Linked DNA regions of Rhinolophus ferrumequinum. The protein of the gene in region 1 interacts with the protein of each later gene in a biochemical or structural test. Links are inferred from orthologs where the notes say so. Each region holds a gene or a part of one and is shown on either strand. Other genes may lie near its edges.

What was found. The genes of interacting proteins can lie anywhere in the genome.
Region 2: the proteins of ERBB3 (region 1) and SHC3 form a complex in vitro, tested with the Homo sapiens proteins (2 studies listed by BioGRID and IntAct, with this or other methods). The link is inferred for Rhinolophus ferrumequinum from reciprocal best matches to the Homo sapiens genes ERBB3 and SHC3.
Region 3: the proteins of ERBB3 (region 1) and RASA1 form a complex in vitro, tested with the Homo sapiens proteins (2 studies listed by BioGRID and IntAct, with this or other methods). The link is inferred for Rhinolophus ferrumequinum from reciprocal best matches to the Homo sapiens genes ERBB3 and RASA1.

Annotation. Positions count from the first base shown.
Region 1 is NC_046293.1:55,448,984-55,456,717, reverse strand, and holds the start of ERBB3 (receptor tyrosine-protein kinase erbB-3), read right to left. Parts: upstream 3,024-7,734; 5' UTR 2,883-3,023; coding exon 2,801-2,882; intron 1-2,800. UniProt on the Homo sapiens protein: Tyrosine-protein kinase that plays an essential role as cell surface receptor for neuregulins.
Region 2 is NC_046295.1:4,784,422-4,791,385, reverse strand, and holds the start of SHC3 (SHC-transforming protein 3), read right to left. Parts: upstream 3,024-6,964; 5' UTR 2,673-3,023; coding exon 2,217-2,672; intron 1-2,216. UniProt on the Homo sapiens protein: Signaling adapter that couples activated growth factor receptors to signaling pathway in neurons. Involved in the signal transduction pathways of neurotrophin-activated Trk receptors in cortical neurons.
Region 3 is NC_046290.1:56,677,618-56,684,576, reverse strand, and holds the start of RASA1 (ras GTPase-activating protein 1), read right to left. Parts: upstream 3,024-6,959; 5' UTR 2,458-3,023; coding exon 1,940-2,457; intron 1-1,939. UniProt on the Homo sapiens protein: Inhibitory regulator of the Ras-cyclic AMP pathway. Stimulates the GTPase of normal but not oncogenic Ras p21; this stimulation may be further increased in the presence of NCK1.

The DNA.
Region 1 (7,734 bases):
CAGTCCTCAGCAGCACCCCCCTCCACCCTCAAGCCTTGGGCACAGACAAGTGACCTCACTAGCGGGGGGGAGCTCTGGTAGTGGTGGTGGGGTCAATGTGAGCTTTGTCTTTAAAACTGGAAGATAAGGAGCTGGTTGCCTACCCTACTCCGGCTTCCCTTCTCACTCCCTTCCCCTATCCCAACACACTTTCCAGCCTAGAGTATTCTTCAGCAAATATAGAGAGGCCTGGAGCAAAAGAGCAGCAAACTCCCCCCATTCTAAGCCTTCCACTCAGTTTCACTGTCTGAAGAGTAGTTAAAAAGCCTTCCAACATGGCAATCCTCACTCACATTAGGTAGAGCCTAGAATTGAGGTCCATGAGGAATGTCAGTCTGGGGGTTTGCTTCACCTTGTAAGTAAGTACAAACGATGTAGGGGCTACAGGAAATCTTGACCCTGAAGCCCTATCCCTATCTCTTTCCTCTGGCTCAGAGAAAGACTGTGGGGAGGGTGTGGGGAAGATACCACCTGTTCCAACCACCCTTCCCTGAGGCGGTGGCAGCTTAGTGGGAGGCAGGAGTGGGAATGGAGGAAGTCTGATGAGGTCCCAACCCCTCCTCCTAAATACATCCCTGGTCTGACCACTTTGAGGGCTCCCATTCCCTATCATTCCCCACAAAGGGAACGGGGCAGACAAAGAAGGGTAAGTAGGCAGGCAACTCCCGGGGAAACCTAGGGACTCCAGGGTCCTTGGGCTGAAATGAAAGAGACTAGGAAGGTTAGTCTTTTCTGGAACAGCCCCACCCCAACCCCCTTCCTGGCAGGACACCCCCTCTTCCAAGTCAAGGCGCCAACCCTTCTCTCCAGATAAGGGAGGAGCCAAGATTTCTGCACAGGGAAGTGGGCTGTGTGTGTGGACGTGCACACACTCGTGAGACACACAGATAGCTCCTCTGCTGGCCCAGAAATCTATACTAGCTCTGTTCCTGGGTTTCTTTATTAGGAAGAATTTCAGGTGGCCCCATCCATTCCACCAGCCCATTGTGCAGACTTTGAGTCCGTGCTCGGAAGGCGACTGTTAAGAGGTCCCAGTTCCCTGCCACCCAGAGGGTAAAGTCCATACTACATACACAGGGAGCAAAGGGCCTGAGCGGGAAGAGAGTATGAACACCTCTGAAGAGGCACCTTGGGAGAAGGCGGGGGGGAGGGGAATTATAACAATCCCTGTTGTACTCAGGGAGCAGGGGCACAGGGAGGGGCTGTGTCACAGGCCCTCCTAGGGTAGGGTACTGGGGTGGGTCTCAGCAAGAATCTGCAGCCCCTCCACAAGCACAGGCCTCCACTCCAACGTCCCCCACCCCCATCACAGTCAGGACAAAGGGGCTATAGAAGGACTGAGACAGGGCCGGATGCCCAGAGGCTGCATGATCCAGATAAAGGGTAAAGAGACCCAACCAAGCCTGCCCCCTGGCTCCCTCAGGGAAGGTAGCCAGGGTTCCTGGTAGAAGATTCCAGGGGTCTGAAAGGGACAATGATAGAGTCCCACTACTAGGTCCCTCCCACTCTAGTCCCCAGCCCTCCCTGTCCCCCCCCCCCAACTCCACCAGCTGGGAGTGTTCACATCTCAAGATCCCAGGGTCTAAATTTAGGCCCAGCAACTGTGGGGGAAGCACAGGTGTTTCTCCCACTCCCACTCTGGGGAAGGGGCCCTGGCTGTGCCAAACCCCAGAGCTGAGATCTAGGGGGAGGGGAGAAGATCAACAGGATTCCTTCAATGCCAGCAACATCAGCACCCCTCAGGTGTCCAGAGACACCCCAAAGGGGTGGACTCAGATGGCATGGGAGTGGGAGGAGGAATAGAAGAGCAATCTGACTCCTCTAGACTCCTAGAGACAGAGTCGGACAATAAACAGAATGGTGGTGGGAGAGAAGCTGGGTCTAGGAAGAACTCCCCAGGAAGGACAGGAATTCAGAGGGTGGGAGAGGAGCCCTGTTAGCCCTCACGTTGGGGAGAGAAAAGACAAACAGGCGGGAAATCCTTGAGGCTACTACAGCTCAGCTCCAGGTCCAGGCCTTTGCGTATAGTAGATGCTCAGTAAATTTTAGTTGATTTGCTCTGGATCTTGACAAAGAAAGGTTGGTCATGTTGGGACCAGCCAGCTTTATGGTTTTTAGGGAAAGAGGACAATCATACTCTGCATGGCCTCTCACCCTGGTATCACCTGGACTTGGCTCACTGGTTAATCTCAGCCCTCCCCAGGGCAGGCTCACTCACGGAAGAGGAGGTGCCTCTCTTGTTTTTCCAACACTAGAGAACAACAACCCCCTCCAACCCTTCCATAGCTCCACCCTGTCGGCAAAACAACAAAACTGGAGGTTGCTGAAACCCGGGGATGGGAGGGGGGTGAGGGTGGGCAAGGGACTGGGGAGCAAACTGAGACACCCCCCCTTTCTCCAAGATCTCCACCTCCAATCATCTTACGTTTACAGAATGGAAGTCCCAGCTCCCCTCCCTGCAGGGCCCCCCCAGAAGTGTGAACTCTTTCGGCATCAGTCCTATCGCAAAGGGCAAATTAGAGGGTCGGCGATGCACTAGGGAGGAGGTGGTGGTGGTGGAGGGGGTGGTCCAGGAATCCCATCTCCCCCGGTCCCACGCCTCGAACCCGAGCCAGACGGTCCCTGCCCAGGTGATCCCAGCAGATCCGGGGTCAGCATCCCCAGGCTCGCGCCACCCGATCTCCTGCGGCTGCCCCAGGATTCCGCGCACTCAGTTCGGAATCCCAGGTTCCGAGCCTGCCTGTGTTCACTCGCCGCTTACCTGCCTGTGAGTTGCCCACCTCGGAGCCCCGGGCCAGGCTGAGAAGGAAGCCCAGCACCTGCAGAGCCCCGTTCGCCCTCATGACTCCAGCGGAGGGTGAGCGGAGCCCAGCCGAATCCGGCCCCGGGGGCCCCTGGACTAAGACATCGAAGCGGAGCCACCTGAGCCTCCCGCGAACTGGTAGCTGCGGCGGACGAGGTTGCAAACTGCAACCGGAGCTGGAGCCAGAGTCCGGGGCGGGATGGCAGGGGAGGGGTGTGTGTCTGAGGGAGCGCAGAGGGAGGGGGTGAGTCACGGCCGCGCCCCCGCGGGCGCGAGGCTGGCGTGGGGACTACTGGAGCTTCCACCCGCCGCCAGCACGCCCCACGCCCAGTGCCCCGCAGCTGGGCCAAGCGGATCCAAGATGGGTCTCACCCGAATTTTTCTTTGGGAGCTGGACTAAGGGGAGGTCAAGATTCCAAACGCCCCCAAATGACTCCAAAGGGGTAAGGTAATGGGGGTGGGGAGAGAGCGCCAAAGCCCGGCCCCCTGAAAGTTGGCCTCGCCCATTAACCAAATCACTCAACTACCCTAGCCGGTTGGGTCACTTGGGGGATTTTTCTCTCCGAATGTGAACGTTTCTCTCTGTGCTTTTGAGGGGGAGGATATTTTTGCCTCACGCTCAGTTCACCTCAGTTTCCCCGGAAACCCCTCGAAACCCCATAACTCATCTACCCTGCCGAGGAACCCGAGCCCCAAGGCCGCGTGAAATTGTACTGTCTCCGGCCGCTTCCTCCTCCAGACCCGGCGCCGGCCGGGTCTCTCCGGGGGATTTGGTTGAGGGGCGGGGGTGGTTTCCAGCCTGGGAACAGACCCGGAGCCCGCCTTTCCACTTCCACCCCGGGAGGGGCTCCCGCACCTGTCGCCATCCCCTCTGCTGCCCCCCACGGCCGCCTGGGAGAACAGCTGCCTCCTCTTCCACAGGAGTCTGACCGCGCCGTCGGGGCGGCGGGAATTCCTAAAGCTCTTCTGGGGACCTAGATGGGCACACTATCCCCACCACAGGCGCTCACACCTTCCCTGGCGCCTTCCAAGCCCGGGCTGGAGCTGGGAAGGAGGAGGGGGTGGTGAAAGAGGACATGGAGAGGGCACTAGAGACTAAGTCCACGAATGGCCTGGATCCCTGGCATCTCCACCACCAGCTCCCGGATCCTGGCCAGAGGCGGTCGGGCGCTCTGCGAGTGGCAGCCCCAAATCCGGCTAGTCTCGGGACGGATCCGCCGGGCGCCCCCTGGTGCGGAACCCGTGGCAGTGAGGCTCCACAATTGGCATTCCGGATTTTAGCCAGAGAGTTAATTATTTTCTTCACAGTTTTTAGCCTGAAGACGTCGAGAATAGTTGATGAAGAAAAATTTTGCCTCTCACTCCGACCCTAGACTACCGGCTACAGTTCTTTAAACTTGCTCGGTATTGATATACACCCTAGAGGGTCCACTCTCTGCTGGAGGCTTACCTTTGCCGGAGGGCGTTGGCCTTGCCCTGACCACTTGCATAACAATCATAATACAGTAGTAATCAACGTCAGCGAAACCTTAACATATACACACATATACCACTTAATTTGCAAGCGTTTCCTCAAACTTACAGAATGTTTTACTTAACATAAAAATGTATGCTAAGGGACCTCAGTCTACATTTTATGGAACTGGAAAATGTGTAACTTCTCCAAGGTCATGTACTTGGTGACAGTGGATCAGGTGATTAGGAAGAGGGGCTCAGGTTTTTGCTGAGGATTTCTTATGTCACACTGATACTGGAGCTTCATCTGCTTCTGATCAGATTCCCATCAGATAACTGAACAAATACCATCTTAAGGCGCCTTTTGTTTTATTACCCATCTCAATTTAGTGTTCAAAGACACTGTTTCTGAAGGAGGAAACCCTCCTTAGTTTGTTTGTAAAACAGTTTTGTCTATTTATAAAGGTTGTTGTTTGAATTTAATGAGAAAAGGCAGGTAGAGCTCTTAATTATTGTGTTGCACTGGACCTTTAAAGAAGAATTCAATGAATACTAGCTGTATTTATTCCAGCTATCACCAACCCCACCTCTCCCTTTCCCAGCTAGATCCCAAGGTGTGTTTGCTGGTATCCATTCTTCAATAATTAGAGAAACATAGGGATATAAACACTGGATAAAGCTGACAAGTGAGGGGCCATCTCTATTGGGTGCTACCCTAACTGAATAAATAAAGGAAAGGAGGCCGTATTTTAGAAAAGCTACAGTTATCCAGAATTCCTTTATCTTTCTTATTTGTTATCTGATGACTTTGGTTCTTATTTTACTGTGAAAATAAAAGTAATCAAAAGAAAACATCCTTATCTTTCTACCACCAATCTGGCCAATTTTCCTCCATCTTCACTTATATACTCTGACTTCCATCTTGTTATAATGAATTGTCCTTGCTGCTATTAAAGCTGTCACTCCCCCATTCCCATCCCTTACCCCAATTCACCCTCCAGTTCTACATCTCAGATCATTCCTTCCTGCCTTTCTCCTATATTATCCCCTTTCTCCTATAGTATCAAATTTCCTTTCTACTAGATCATTCCCATTAACATACAAATGTACTGTAACACCTGCCGTCTTTTAAAAAAACATACAACAAAACAAATAAACTTTCTTTGACCCCATGGCCTTTGTTCCTAACTGCTGCAAGGTATTCTGTCATGTGAATTCCTATGCTTTATTTGTTCATCACTCCAACGATTGCCTCTTGTTTCTGGCTACCACAGCGATGTTGCAATAGAAATAAATACCCTTGTATGTGTCTCCTTTGGTTCTTATGCATAATAAACCACACTCTGGAATATTACACCATAAGTAGTGGGATTTCTGTATCCCAACTTCCTCACCAATACTTGACATTATTCAGGTTTCCATTTTTTTTTTAATTTGCCATGAATTTAAAATAGCACATAGCAGGGGCTGCCGGTTAGCTCAGTTGGTTAGAGCGTGATGCTGGTAACACCAGGGTTGCCGGTTCGATCCCCACATGGGCCAGGATGAGCTGCGCCCTCCCCAACTAGATTGAAACAACTACTTGACTTGGAGCTGATGGGTCCTGGAAAAACACACTTGAATAAATAAAAGTTAAAAAAAAATACGGTGAATGTTTAAATAAATAAATAAATATCACATTGCATTTCTATAATTACTAATATGTTTGAGTGTCTTCTAACATTTTTTCCTTTGTTTCTCTTTTATGAATTGCCTATTCATTTTCCTTTGCCAATTTTCCTATAGGGATTTTCATGCTTTATATCGATTTGCAGCAGTTTGTTATGTATTTCAGATATTAGTCCTTTGTTGGTTTAATTTTATTTATTTATTTACTTATTTACTTATTTATTTATTTTAGAATTTTTATGAGTTTATTTGAGTCAAACTGACAACATATGCCAGGGAGCAAAATCTCAAATGTTCTTCCTTTTGTTGTTTTTAGACATTGCAAATATCTCTTCTCAACTTTCTTCATTAACTCTGTCAATAACTTGTTTACTGAACAAAAGTCCTTTGGTATAATCTGATTAGTCAATTTTACTTATGGTTTGTGATCTTGATATTTTTAAAGACTTTCTTCCCCACGCTTGCAGCACGTTTATTGAGGTATAATTTAAATATAATTGATATATAATAAGTTGTACATCTTAAGTCACAATTTGATGAGTTTTGGCATAGGTATATAATCCAATCAAGATAATGAACATATCCATCACCCAGGAAAACTTTCTCTTGCCCTTTGGTAATCATTTTCCTAGTCCCCGTAATCTCCCGCAGCCCCACCCCAGCATGTATATATTCAGTTGTTTAAGCATCACTTGTTGATAGTAGATTTTAATAATAAAAAATACTAGTACTACATAGTAAAAATAGGTATTTGTGTTTAGGTATTTTTAGGGGAGAAGTTTTCAGGGACTTGTCAAGTAAATACTTAGGCAAAGTAAAAGGTATACACCAAGTAAGTTTCATATAACATATTGCCCCTGCAAGAGTGATTAATGCAAAAAAACAAACAAAAAACAACACATACACAATTAGAACTAATAAGAACATTAAAAAATGTTCTGAGTATAACAACAATACTACCCAATTAATAGTAGTTATCTTGATTCTAAAACTGGATAATGAAGATGCATGAAATAAGTTATTGATTCATCTCACATATATGTATATACAATATCCTAAATAGAATACTAGTTAACTTAATCAAACTGTGTATTAAAAAATAATTATCTGCACACTCTAGTTTCTGAAAAACTTGTATGAAGTAGTAAGAAACCATTTCTCAATAGAAGCTATTCTTGAACTTGACTAAAGTCAGTAGAACATATTTGTAAAATCATCTGGGTTGAGACTTTTGGGTAGTGAAGTCTCTTATTAACATTTTAATTTCTTCAATGTATTTTCAAGTTTTGAATTTCTTTTTGTTTTTAACTTTTTTTATTTATTTGTGTTTTTCCAGGACCCATCAGCTCCAAGTCAAGTAGTTGTTTCAATCTTTGTGGAGGGCGCAGCTTACAGTGACCCATGTAGGGATCGAACTGGCAACGTTGGTGTTAAGAGCACCCCGTTCTACCAACTGAGCTAACCAGCTACCCCTAAGTTTTGAATTTCTTCTTGATCCATTCTGCTGTTTATACTTTTCCAGAAATTTATCTATTTCATCTAGGTTTATAAATTCATTAGTGTATGGTTATTAATAATAAATACTGTTGCTATTTTTTTTTAATCTGTTGTGTCTGTTTCCCATTTTCATTCTGTATTTTGCCTATTTGCATCTTTTTTTTTTTTTGTCTATCATTCTAGTTAGAGCTCTCTTGATTTCTTCTCTGGTTCATTGATTATATCATTCCTTTTATTCTTATTTCTTCTCCACATATCTAATAGATTTAGCC
Region 2 (6,964 bases), on another chromosome or scaffold:
CACCCCTGAGGATGGAGCAGGCAATGGCACCAGGCACTAACTAGCCATGCTATGCACCCCAGCTCACTGCAACCCTTTAGGTGAAGCATGACAAAGTGACCCCAAGCCCCAGAAGGCCCTGGGCAGACCCGACTCAGCGCTATGCCTGTTTGAGTAGCTGCTTCTGGGTGTCACAACCTTACACCAACAGAATGGCCCAGCAGGGCAGACTTGTTTTAGTGGTTCATCATTACTCAGCCACGACCGACCTGGAGAGCTGGATGTCTGCCTTCATTCTTCAAAAAGCAAGAGCAAAGCACTAAGCCAAGTGAATTTTTTTTTTTAAGGAAATCTTTAAAGGCAAAAGTAGATGCCTGACCACTGCGCTGTACACCTAAACCTGATGCAAAATAATATTGAATGTAAACTATAATTATATATATATACCATATATGTATACACACCATATATATACATATATATTCACGAAATGTAAAATATAGCATAGGAAATATAGTCAGTGGTATTGTAACAGCTATATACGATGTCTGAGGGATAATAGACTGGGAGCGGGGTTATCACCTTGTGAGGGGTGTAAATGTCTATTCATTATGTTGTTTTGTACACCTGAAACTAAAAATAAATAAATGAAGGCAAAAGTTTGACAATTCTCCTTCCATTTGAAAACTACCCTCTATATTCAACATGGCAAGTATAGAAAGCTGTGCCAAGGTTGATTTGTCTCTTTTAAACATAGGCTTTTATTTATTTATTTATTTATTTATTTATTTATTTATTTATTTATAGCAATTATACTAACATGCTGGACGTGATATATTCTGATGTCACTGTTTAACCTCAAAGTTGTCGGGGGGTTTTGTTTGGTTTTTGTCTTTTTGTTTTTGGCTCCTGGTTATATATATTAAAGAAAGAATACAAAAAGAATATTCACTTTCTTTTATAATAAACTCAACCAGATGTATATATTTTATGCTGACTTACATCTCTTTTGTGAAATACATTAGTCAATTTTCAGAGGCTAAGACGAAGCAGCCTTTGCGGCTCAATGTTTAACACTGATGATTACATCCTTTGTCAGTACTTTTTAGATACAGATAATCCACAAAGTTAACTGTTTCCTTTAATATTCTGATTCCAAAATTACCCAGATACAACATTTTACCTCAGAATGTCGTCTGTTGAATTTTTAAACTGGATCTGCAGCCAGTTTGTACAGACCAGGTATCCTGCAGGTTTCTCAATTGACAACACCATAGGGATAGATTTGTCTTATTGTTTTTCTTAAATAAAATGCCATGCCTTGGGGTGACCAGACTGAAACAATGCACCTCTGATCCCGTCTCCTGGTCTGGGACGTCTGCCCAGCTGTGGAGCTAGCACTGTGATAGCTCCCTGCTCTCTAAAGGCAGAACAGAAGTGGGGCAGGCCAATGGTCAGTGCTGGGTGTTTGTTCCTACACATGATCTTAGCCAAAAGGCCGAGAAGTGATATTTGTTCCTTAAACATCACAAAATACTTGCCTAAGGGAGGAATTTTATTGACCATATCAGGCGTGATTTTATAATTTTTGTATTGGAGGAAAAATCTCCTTTCCAGGCTCCAGACGCCACAAGCTCAGTTCCCTTCAATATGTTTAAATGAAAAACTACAGTCCCTAGGGAAAAACAGCCCCAAATTCTCCTCCTGCTGCTGTGAACCAAAACCTTTAGGTAGGAGTGAAAGGCAGACACGAAGGAAAACCTTGATGGGTAAGAAAGTACAGCTTGTCTTACATAAAACAAGACAGCATTTGGCCGGCATGACCAGGAGCTGGAAATTCTTGCTGTGGGGAGAAGGAAACCATCCACCTTGCCTGGGGCAAACACAGCAGAAGTAGTGGCACCACCTGCATTTCTCATCGCAGGGGCTGCCCAGTTCTTTCAAGTGTGTCCTAGGTAGGCCTGAGGTACAGTTCTCAGGGATAGGGGCCCATGCCTAAGGAGCACAGGCCGGACACATGGCAAAGCGAAGTGGCGAAGGCATGCCAAAGGAGTGGAGCCAAGGCAAACCAAGACAGAATGAGGTCACCGTTTTTAAACCTCGCAATGGATGCGCAACCGGAGCGTTTGCGGTGCCAGGCAAGCTAGCTGCGAAGGAGTGCGCACCTCCTGGCCTCCAAGGCTACCCACCGTGGCGGACCCAAGCTTCCCCACCCGGCTGCCCGTGTCCGCACCTACCTTAACGACGTAGGTGACTCCGGCCCCCAGCACCTGCTCACTGGCTGGGGGCGCGCGGGGCGGTGGCTCGTCGCCGGGCCGGCCCTTCCTGGCGGCGCGCATGGCCGGGGCGCGGGGGCCGGGGGACGAGCTGCCGTCCGGGGCGGCCAGGCTGGGCGCGCTGCAGCTGCCCGAGAGCCGCGCGCCCGCCCGCTCCCTGGCCGCCGACAGGCCGCGGAGGCCCGAGCTGGAGAGTTTCAGGTGGGACACCTTGTGGAGCAGGTGGCCCAAGCTGCCCGGGCCATCGTCGGGCGCCTTGCGCAACGCGTCTCCAGACACTAGGTAGGGGGCCGCTGCCGGGGCCGCGCGCGCCGCCGAGACCTTGTCGCCGCTGCTCACCGACAGGTTGTGCAGAAGGTCATCGACCGATGTCACCGAGTCATTCCTGAAACGGTTGTACTTGGTGCGTGGAAGCATGCCCCTCCGTGGGCTCGCCGCATCCGCCCGGGCGCTGCAGGTGCGGGCGCGGGCGCGGGCTGCCACGCATAGCAGGCGAGCAGCTGTTCCCGGGGTGGACGCAGCGGCCGGGACCGCGGCGGGGTCGGGGGCGCTGGAGGGAGCGCAGGCTTCCCACCGCTAACACCCCGCGCCGCCTTGGCCGCGTAGCCCCGGCCCCGGACGCGGCTGCTGAGGGCGGCACGCTCGCTTTTCAAAAGTCATAGTTTCCTCTGATGAGCGCCCAGCTGCTTGGAGCTGCTCACAGCAAAAGCATGACTCACTCCGAGAGGAGACCCTTCTCAACAAAGGCTCGGTGAACACTGCAAATCACTTCCTGTAGCAAAAAAAAAAAAAAAGAAGAAGAAAAAAAACCACATACACCCACTAACGGCACACTAGAGCCAATCAATTCTCAAATTTCCTTTTTCTACCTTCCCAGATATTTCCTTCCAACCTTTGATTTTTCACTTTCCCATCCCCCCTTCAGCATTTGTGCCAGAAGTAAATCCAGTTTTTTTCAGATGATCTGATGAACTTTCTGAAACCCATTATTCTACGCTAGGGTTTTCTCTTCCCCATCAGCCCATCTGTGTGAGCCTGTAAGTATCTGACAGCGATGCGTTAAAATGTGACGAAGTCTTTTTAAGAATAAGATCTTCAGCGGATCCTCGTGAATTCTGATTTGGAAAACAAGCAGGAATTGTTACATAGCAAAAAAAAAAAAAAGTGTGGGTAGAGGGGATATTCAATCCCAGGTGAACATAAATTACCACTTTCCTGGATATTTCTTTTCAAATTAACAGAGCGCCCAAGACAAATGTCTTTGTGGCAATACAGTTCCTCCAAAACAAACAAATAAAAAATCTACATATGAACTCCTGCACAGAGCCAGTAAAGGTCTCTCCCCTGCTAATTTACAGCAGACTTTCTCAGCCAGGGTTAAGTTGAAAATCTACTTCCAAAAATAAAAAAAAAGGAAGAAGAAGAAGAAGAGTGCTTCTTTGATGAATGGCAACAGGCTCCAGAAATCCATTCCAAAAAAGGGTCTGTGCTTGAAGCTTTATTCTAACTGAATGTGTTCAAGCTCTGGAAAAATGCCTAAGAAACACTACAAATACATGTCAATGTCCCTTCGGTTGTGGCTTGCAGCCCTGCAGTAAGGGAAAGAAAAAATGCAGCTGCTGTCCTTACACATCAAATCCGCAGGAAAATGCCCCCTTTTTATTTTCAGGAATCAGACTCAGGCTGCAAGAGAACCTCACAGGCCTCCCTCTCAGAGAGCAGGGCATTTGAGCAGCCCCCCGGAGGTCTGCGGGGCTCAAACCCACGACCCCTGTCACCGTGGGCTCTGCTGTCTTTCTCATCTTCCTTGGGCATTGAAATAGCCTGCCTGACACAGTCTTTGGACAGTCCCTGTCCAAGTTTCCAGCTACCTCTGTGCAAGCAAATGAATTTACCTCTAGCACGTTATCAGGTCACCCTGAGTCTTCTCACACCCACGACTAGACAAGTGACACATGAAGCAGCCAGCCTTGAAGAGCTCTATGGAGCAACTGTAACCAGTGCCAGTCCCTGCGGGCCGGCTGCTGGACACAGGAACACAGGGGAGCAGCGGCTCCCGGCTCAAGGCCGCAGGCCTAACAGGGCAGGCGCACAGCTCTCATCTTTTCCCTTCCCCTTGCTTGCATAGCAACAGCAAAATGTACACCCCATAGATGATTGGGGTGGTAATCAACCCCCCACCCCACCCCCGCAAATCTAAAGCGAAAATGCCCTATCATTCCCAAACCGTGATCTTCATTAGAAGCAGACAAAAACAGCAAAATGTGAATGAAATGCTGTTTGTGTGAATGAAAGGGCTAGCGAGCGAGCCAACGTTTCTGTGAATGAAGTAGGTCTTTGCAGCGGGCGCCAGGCAATCCCCTGGTTCCAGCGGCCTCAGCCAATGAGCAACCGCCCCGATGACTCATTCAGCAAAGGCCTGCTCAATAGTGGAAGGTTCCATTTCAATCAAAGGCGGGATCTTTCATCCAACGGCAGTGTGGGGGGGAAAAAAAGCTTGCCTGAATACAAAGATGCAGGGAGGAAGGGACCGCTGTTGTGGAGAGAGGAAAAACTAGTTTTTCAAGAAAAATCAAGAACGGTGAGTCAGGTAAGAATGTGAACAGAATTGCCCTCTTGAAGGTGAGCTGTGCCCCCAAATTTTCATTCAGCCATTCATTTAAATCAGGGAGCAACCATGAATGTGCCATTCGGTTCAGAATTTATTATGAATGTACAGTGAAGGCACATTCAAAACCTAGTTACCTCGCCCTGGATTCTTTTTGTGAAAGGCATATAAAAACGCACCTGCACGTCTAAGTCTCCAAAAAGAAAAAAACAACAACAAAAAAACCCAAAGCTACACTGTTAACCCTTTAGCCAACAGATTTATTTTTTATTGCGCTGAGGCAAATGGAGGGAAATTGGCCATTTTAAAATATAAATAGCAACATAATTGACTACATGTAAAAAGATATAAAATCAAAGAGGATGATTAATAGTCCAAGAGCACAATAGTACAGTGAAACGTCACTTATCAAGAAGGTGGTATCAGCGTTTTGGAATGCAGAAGAAAAGCAGAAAGAAACCCCAAAAGCAGCTCAGCACCACAAGAGAAGCCTCCAGCCCAGCCCAGGAGCTCATGGCCCCTCCCTCCAGGAACACCCTGAGGGCCTCAGAGGGGTGTTTCTGCTTGTTGTAGACACTATCCCCAGTGTCATCTCTGTGACAACGCAGAAATGGATGATAGATACAATTCTCATACTTTGGCAGCACAGAAGAAAACAGAAAAAGAAATCATTAGAAGTCAGCCTTGAGACTCAAGAACACCAGGCAGCCTGGGTCATTTAGGCAGCCGGGTAGCCTTTCCAGATTTGCGGTTTTTCTTTTTAAATCTATTCATTTAAAAATGTACTGGTTTTCTATTGCTGCTGTAACGTCAAAATCAGTGGTTTCAAGTGACATAAATTTATTACCTCCCAGTGCTATAGGTCAGAAGTCACATGGGATAGAGCCGCCGTTGCCAGCGCCATGTTCAAGGTAATTCAGAGATTTTGGGGGCCGGCCAGCCTGAGTCTGCTCACCTTCAAAGTCTATGCATCACAGAAAAAAGGACACACCTCACAAAACTTCTGTGGGGGTTAATGAGCTTTCACTCTACTCTGTTCCTGAGGGTCAATCTAAATATGTGGAGGAGCCAAAGACTCAACTTGAAGAAAGCATCTCACATCTCTGACAGTATTGCCAGCCATGTACAAGTTGGTGTTAGGAAATACACTCCCAAACTGAGCCCAAGATGCAAAGTTTGTTAGTGGGGGTTAAACAGCTATGAATATCTCCAAAATGCACCTCCTAGTTTTTTTTCCAAGACTTGGTGTTATTGGGTTTGCTGGCATTGTTGGACTTCTTTTGGCTAAAAGTTCAAAAATAAAAAAGCTGGTCTATCCATCTGGTCTCATGGAATTAGCTGCCTCTCTTTATTATCCACAACAAGCCATCATATTTGTCCAGGTCAGTGGGAGAAATTATATGCCTGGGGTTTACGAGGACACATAGTCATAGAAGATTTGTGGAAGGAGAACTTTCAAAAGCCAGGAAATGTGAAGAATTCACCCAGAAATAAGTAGAATACTCCATGTTCTGTCCATTTTAATCAGTTATCGGTAAACATTGGAAACGCCAGTATTCCAATACAGTAAGCCAGTATTTCTTCAGAAAAATGGCAGAGAAGTCAGTACTGAATGTAATAAACTGGCTTTCGTCTTCAGGAAAAACTGTATTAGGCCTCTTGGTTATCTTGGGTGATGCTTGGTTATCTTGGGTGACGAGGGGACTAATCAGAAATCCTTTCACCTAGAGATAATGTACAAGCCTTAGAACTCCTTGTTCTCATGTTGCTATTTATGTACACAATTAAAACTCCAAGTTAAGAAAAAAAAGTCCCATGGGAAAAAGTCCACGGGTGGGCAGGGCTGCGTGTTTTCTGGAGGCCTTGGGGAGAGTCCTTCTCCTGTCATTTTCCCACTTCTAGACGGCTCCCAGTGCATTCCTAAGGATGGGCCACGAGCTGCGCCCTGGGGAGGGGCTTTGCCCCCAGAAGGTTTCATCCTAGCAAGACAGACAGAAAATCTAACATTAGCATTATAACCAAGTACAATGCTATGCGAAAGTTTTAATGTGTGTGAGATACAAAAACTATCCAGAGGGGAGTGTGCTGAGCTTGGCCTGAG
Region 3 (6,959 bases), on another chromosome or scaffold:
ACCTTTCCAAGATCACACAGCTAGTAAGTGGTAGTCAGGATTCCAACCCAAATCTTGTCTAACTTCAGAATTTGCACGCTTAACCACTACACTGTATTGCCTCCAATGACTCTGGGTTGATATCTAAGATAAAGAAAAGAGGGAAATTTGTACTTCTCAGTGGCAAACTTAAAAAACATACTAGAAATGGAGGATACTTTTTAGAAATAGAACAAATCTCATATACATAGTCACACAAATATTTTTATTCTCAAATACATAATACCAAATGAAAATCTCATACAATGGACTCCTCACAAACACAATTTTCCTACGTTACGTACGTATTTATGTTTATTACAAAAAACTTAATGGGAATGCTCTGTATTTTCTGCTCAATTTTGCTGTGAATCTAAAATTGCTCTACAAATTTTATTTGTAAAAAATTTAAAACTACAATATACTAAATATGCCTAACTCAATTATGAACTGGCATAAGACTATATTCTTTCAGTATGAAAAGTTGCACTTTATTATAACTATAATGCTGAGTATGTAGTGGGTACTTTATGTTTAACTGATTTTTTCAAAAAGGTTTGAAGGTGTGTAAACAGTGTGTAAAATCTGAATTTTTAACACTCTCAGAACACCTTCAGAAAAGTCTGCAATACCTAGACCTGACATGGTAAGTTTGAATACAATTAGATAAAGAAAATTGAACTCGTATTGAACAACATAAAGGAAAACAACACCCCTATACCATGGCTGACATAAGACTAACTTTACTTTTCTACCTAAGTATCAAAAGATGTAAGACAGAATAGGCTTACATCTTAAGACAGAATAGGCTAGTATTACAGAATTTTCCTAATTTGTTTTTAAAGTCCTTTCTAAATATTCCAAAGAAGCTTATCCAAAAAAACTTTTTTAAGTAATACTTTCAAGTGTCCAGAGTAACTGTCAATCAAACCTTTTTTTTCCTCTGATATTCACCAAGGTTGTAGAAATTCTAAAGGTCTATTAGGACAGCTGTGAGAGTTCTATACAAGTTTTGCCTCCTATCACCATCCGAACATCAACATTTTCCTCTCATCAAGGTCCACCTTCATACATAAACACATACCTAAATTCAATTATGAAGATAACAAGAGAGATGTACTAACTTTATACGGAAAAGTCATTTGTTCGATATATTCTGCAGTAGACTGTCAAATTTAGAAATAGAATACTGTATTGGTCACCAATGAAAAGCGTTGAAAGGGAAGCACACTATTAATTTTGTTTTACTTCAATATTGTACTTACAAAGTCTCAACTATAAAAGAATGGCACTAATATTAATACACAGGAATTCAATGGCACAAGTTACAGATACTGTAGGAGTACTGGCCCTTAATCACACCTGTAAGTCATAGAACTTTTCTTTCTCGCTGACACAGGTTTTCATAAGTCATCCAAAAACTTTTGCATCGCTATGCTTTTCAGTAGGCAGAAGTTAGAATTTGCAGTGGAACAAAAACAAAGCATTCTGACCAAGGCATGTTTTAAATGATAATCAGTACAACACTCATTCAAATACTTGTATTCAAAACTTCTAATTAATCATCCAGCTCCAACAGAGAACACACAGGTTAGTACTATATAAGACTACGACTGCCCTGGTAGCTGCCAGCTCAGCTGAATCCCAGGACGCCACCTCAATTGAGAAGGGGTAGAACCACATCCGGTTGTCACCTGATACACATTTCCCTATGCTTCCCATCTTAAAAACTTCACATCTTCCCAGAGGAAGCCAGGGAATGTGCCCGTAGGGAAGATAAGTGATCAAATTAAATCCCTACGCGTAGAACTTGACGCTTCAAAACTTTTCACAACAAATTATAGCTGACAGAACGAGTATGTTTTTCCACTTATTTGCAGGAGCCAACTTTCCCCGTCACTGAACAGCGGTCTTGACTTACTGGTTAGTTGGAGGAGCGGTCAGCGGGATGGCCACCTCTTCCTCCTCGTATTCTGGTCCATCTAGAGAGTCACCTTCGTCCACTGTTCCCAGGCCCGCGCCCAAAGGGGGCAGTTGAGGAGGAGGTGGCAGAGGAGGGAATCCGCCGCCTGCCCCGAAGTTCTCAGCAGGCAATGAAGTGGTCCCTTTGGTGAGAGCCATCTCCCCACCAGGTCCGGCGGCGGCAGCACCAGCCACGCCAGCAGCAGCACCTCCCCCTGACAGTGCGGCTCCCCCCAGTGTCCCTGCCACAGACCCGGCTCCTAGGAACCCTGACCCCAAAGCGGCTCCGCTACCCAGAGTCCCGGCCACTCCGGCCTCCGCCAGCCCAGGATAGGGGGCGGCTGCCACAGGCAGGGCCGGAGGGATCTTCACCCGACACACTGCCGGATAGGCACTCGAGCCCGCGGCCGCGCCGCCTCCTGCTGCCCCGGCGGTCACCGGACCGCCCTCCTCACTGCCGGCCTCGGCCGCCATCATGTTGAAGTCCGCTCTACTCTGCCTTACCCAGCCCGCCCGGGAGCCCCGGGGGCCACCAGGCCCGGGCTCCGAGCCGCCCCACCCAGACGCGTCCCCTCTTCAGCTCCCCAGGCGGAGGAAACAACAACAAAAGGAGAGTCGCCGCCGCGCCCCCTCCTCGGGCCACAGCCCAGGCTCCCGAGCTGCCCGGGTTACGGGAAGCGAAGTGGGCAAAAAACCCAACGCCTGCACAAACGCCGCCCAAACCTTCCCCTATACACCCACACTCACGCACATACATGCACAGAAGCGAAAAACTTCCTGGCTCACTAAAGAGGAAGGGAAGCACAGGGGAAGCGGCTGGGCGGCTGCCGCTCCTTGGGCCACCGCCGCTGCCGCCGCCACCGCTTCACCACCCCAGTTCCGGCCACCCCCACCGCAGCCACCGCTGGTGCCGCTGCTGGGGCTGGGGCCACTGCAGCCGCTTCATCCTCCACCGGCCTGGAGACGGGAGGGGTGGGGAGAAAAGAGGAAGGGGGGCGGGGTGGTGGGGAAGTCGACTGAACAGCTCCCAACCTGGAGCTCTCAGTGAAATAGACGAGAGAGAAAGGAAGGCGGAGCACCGGAGGAGGAGCGGAGGGAAGGAAGGGCGGGGAAGGAGGAGGGAGAGGGCGCTTCTGCACAGGCGCGTTGCGGGAGCGGGTGGGGAATGGGCCTGGAGAAAGGAAAAGGAAGAGTCCGGAGGGAAGGAAGCAGCGGGGACGCGCGATGCGCGGTCGCGCCCGCTGTCCCACTCCGGTTCGAGCGCGTGGCGGCGCGGCCGCTTCTCGCATCGGTGTCGCCAGTGGCGCGCGCCTGTCTCACTGGGCTTTGTTTGATGGGCGGGTGGGGAGGGGAAGGGGAGAGTGGGTATCTAAGCAAGCTGCCGCTCAGCTCCGTGAAAACAGGAGACAGAAGGGTAAGAAGCCTAGAGAGGAAGGACGGGGAAAAGGAACGGAAGATGCTGCAAAGCCAGTTCACAGCTTCCTGACCGGTAGAAAAAACACCATTAGCCGGCGGCGCAAACACCTAACGGCCAAGGACCGGGGTAGGGGTGTTGGGATGGGGGACTTGCAGACTGCCTCGAAGGTTGAGGCAGTACTAATGTTTTCATTTTTGTTGCATAATATAAATCACTATATGACTATTGCAAACTAAAAAAATGAAATAAAGCTCTAGGCTGTGAAACTCAAGAAAACGAAATGGATACGGGGGGAGCGGGGGTGGGGGAGAGAGACTATGGGAAGCGTTAAGAATTTTCGCAGAAATAATGGCTGTGAAGTCAGATTTCTATGACTATACACGTTTTGTTTTCTTCATTGACCTCACCTCCTCTGTTTCTCTCTCTCTCTCTCTCTCTCTCTCTCTCTCTCTCTCTCTCTCTCTCTCTCTCTCTCTCTCACACACACACACACACACCTGTGCCATTGCCAAGTCTATTGGGTACTAATGAGGTGTGGAGAGGAGGGGTGCTACATACCACACCAATCAATACACTTTTGTCCTCTTCTATGTGAAAAAGAAAGCAAGGCATGCTCCATAATTCACATGTAACACACAAGAGGACTTTCAACAAGGCAAATGTCAAGAATATCCGGAAGTGCCCATTCAAAAATTATCAATAAACTGAGATCTCACCCTTAATATAGCCAAAAAGGAGGTGGGTTTTGTTTTGTCTTTTATACTTCTATACATGACTTGTATTCATCTTTTGTTACCGGTATATATTGAGTATTACAATTTTAATACAGTTTCCCTTTCTTAAAATGTGTATATGTTTTTTGGCACCCTCCGTGTATGTATGTGTGTATATATATATATATATATATACACACACACACATAGACACACATACATACATATATATGAATAAATATGTATTTATAAACACATGCATTATCACATACTATTATATGCATTATCGCAAAAAAATGTGTACAAGTGGACTTTGGTCAACATTGCTCAAGCAGTAGTTTGCCGTAATCAGAAGTGTCTGGACACTGATGGTAACCACTTTAATCACCTCTTGTAATTGCAGAAATCAAACGTGATTTGTAGTCATCTTTTATTATCGATATGTATTATTACAATTTTAATACAGTTTTCCTTTCTTAAAATGTGTATACATTTTTTGGCACCTTCTGTATGTGTGTGTGTATATATATATACACACACACACTATATATATACACATATATATGAATAAATAAAACTTATAAACACTATTATATGTATTTATATAGGTGGAGGAATCATTCCCTTAGTTTGAAATTACAGTATAGGTAATTTGCCCTTTTGGATTCATATATCGTTCTTTTAAATTCTCCCAGGAGGAATCCCACATTAAATACCAGTAAACATTGATCTTTGAGATCGATATTTTCTCTAAGGATGATCAAACCAACATAGCACATTGGGGATGGGAAAGGGCTGTTACAGAGGCCCTGGGAAAAAAGGAAAAGACTATTAAAAGAGTTGTAAAGGTGCATGAGAGACAATTTCCTTTACTTTAGCAGTTTGCATAATCTATTTGCCAAATCATTGACAAACTTGATTAAACAGTAGTCCTGAGGACTCCTTCAGTGTGCTTACTTCTTCACAGTATATCACTTGGGAGAATGAAGATGGACTAGTCACAAGAATGGTCTCAGACCACCATTATCCTAGGGCCTTGTTAGAAATGCAAATTCATTGGCCCCATTTTGGACACTCTGAATTAGAAACTGCAGTAATTAATGTTTTAATGAACCTCCAAGTTTACCCATTTAAGAACCACCTTACTATAGTATGCTAATCAGGTAGGAGGTATGCAATACCTAAAAATGGTTCTGAAAGAAAGAGGAATAGGTGAGAAAGCCAACTCAGTATCACTCATTAGGTAGGTGGGTAAGAGATGTACGTATTGGGTTGCTAAACTCTATGTTATTCTAGAAAGGAGATTAGGACGTGAAAAAGTACATAATGAAGTAATTCCATAATACTAAAGAGAATAATGAAGACCTACTTCTTATAGTGGCCAACCTGACGAAATTTTGTATTTTTTTTAAACTTAGATCCTCACAGTTAGAAGAGACCATCAAAATACCTATTCCACCCACTGCCAACAAATTTACATGTAACCTGTGTTTGAAAACTCTGTGTGTTAACATGCCAGTCCTGCATCACATCCATCCCAATTACCACCATCAGCTTTTGAATGTAGGAGGTTGGGCTGGCAGATATCACCAGCTCTTGGTTATCACTGGTCTCTCTTCCCTAAGAGCTCACACACTATCTGTTGCCTGAGATTCCAAGTCAGACTCTCTACTATAAATTGCAAAATTACCTCCTTCCCCTTTTTTGACATTCCTTAGCAATTAAAGGCCAATATGTAATGAAGTCCAACACCAATCAGATACTAAGTTATATAGTTTTTTAGTTACTTTTAGGTGGATGTATCTGCAAAACTATACTGCAAATAGAAACCTGTGGTCTATCCTACTGCCTAGTCCAGTGATAGGCATCCTTGCCAACTGCTTTGAACAGATCTCCATCCTTTTAACAAATACTGGAATAGATCAGTATCTTTGGACAGCAATTGTGCAATTAGTAAGAAAGACTCTATTTTAAATCAAACTAATACCAACATCTTACCTTATATTTAATCTTACAGTTTTGCTGTCCTTTTCATCCAAAAAGATTACCACGTATTTTTGATGAGGTATTTTCAAATATGTTATATATTTCTTTTATTTGACAGATGTAGGCTTTCATCCTTACTCTTCCTTGCGTACTTCCTTAATCTCAAATCAGTCATCTACCTTCAGTGACATTTTATTTTTTCCAGAAGAGTGAAATGTTTCTACATTTATTTTTGTCTATTGCCTTATTTCTTTTTCTTCTCACCTTGACCCTTTGCCCTTCTCTCATTCATGTTCTCTTTTTTCCTGCTAATTTCTACTTCAATTTATGCTTCCGTGTTTTCCTTTTCTTCTAAGCCCCTGAATTTCCTGACATAGATATACTCCTTGAAGTTTCATGAGTCAAAAACTGAAGAAAAATTTTTTAAAAAAACAATGAAATATCTACATGGAGAAAGGCATTACAGGGATTCTGCAGGAATTGATGCTAGGTGTGGTGTTATGTAACACCAACTAACAAAGGGAAGTAAACAGTCTGTTAATTAAATTCACAGATAATATTAAACAGGAGGTACTGAAAAACAGAACAATATCCAAAAGAGGAAAATTCAAATAGCTTTTACCTTTAATAAAGCGATTTTGATATCTATGATTTTAGAAAAGTATCTCTACATATTTAATTAAACATAGTATTTAATGAAGACTAAATGATCAAAAATGCTGAACAAAGACTTGTGGGTGAAAAGAATCTGAACATTTAATTTAAAAAATGAATTTGGCTCATTCTGATTATATTGGCATCCCAAATATGAATGTAATACATTCTGAAATATTTTGCAGTTTTGATACCTCAGTGTGTGAAAG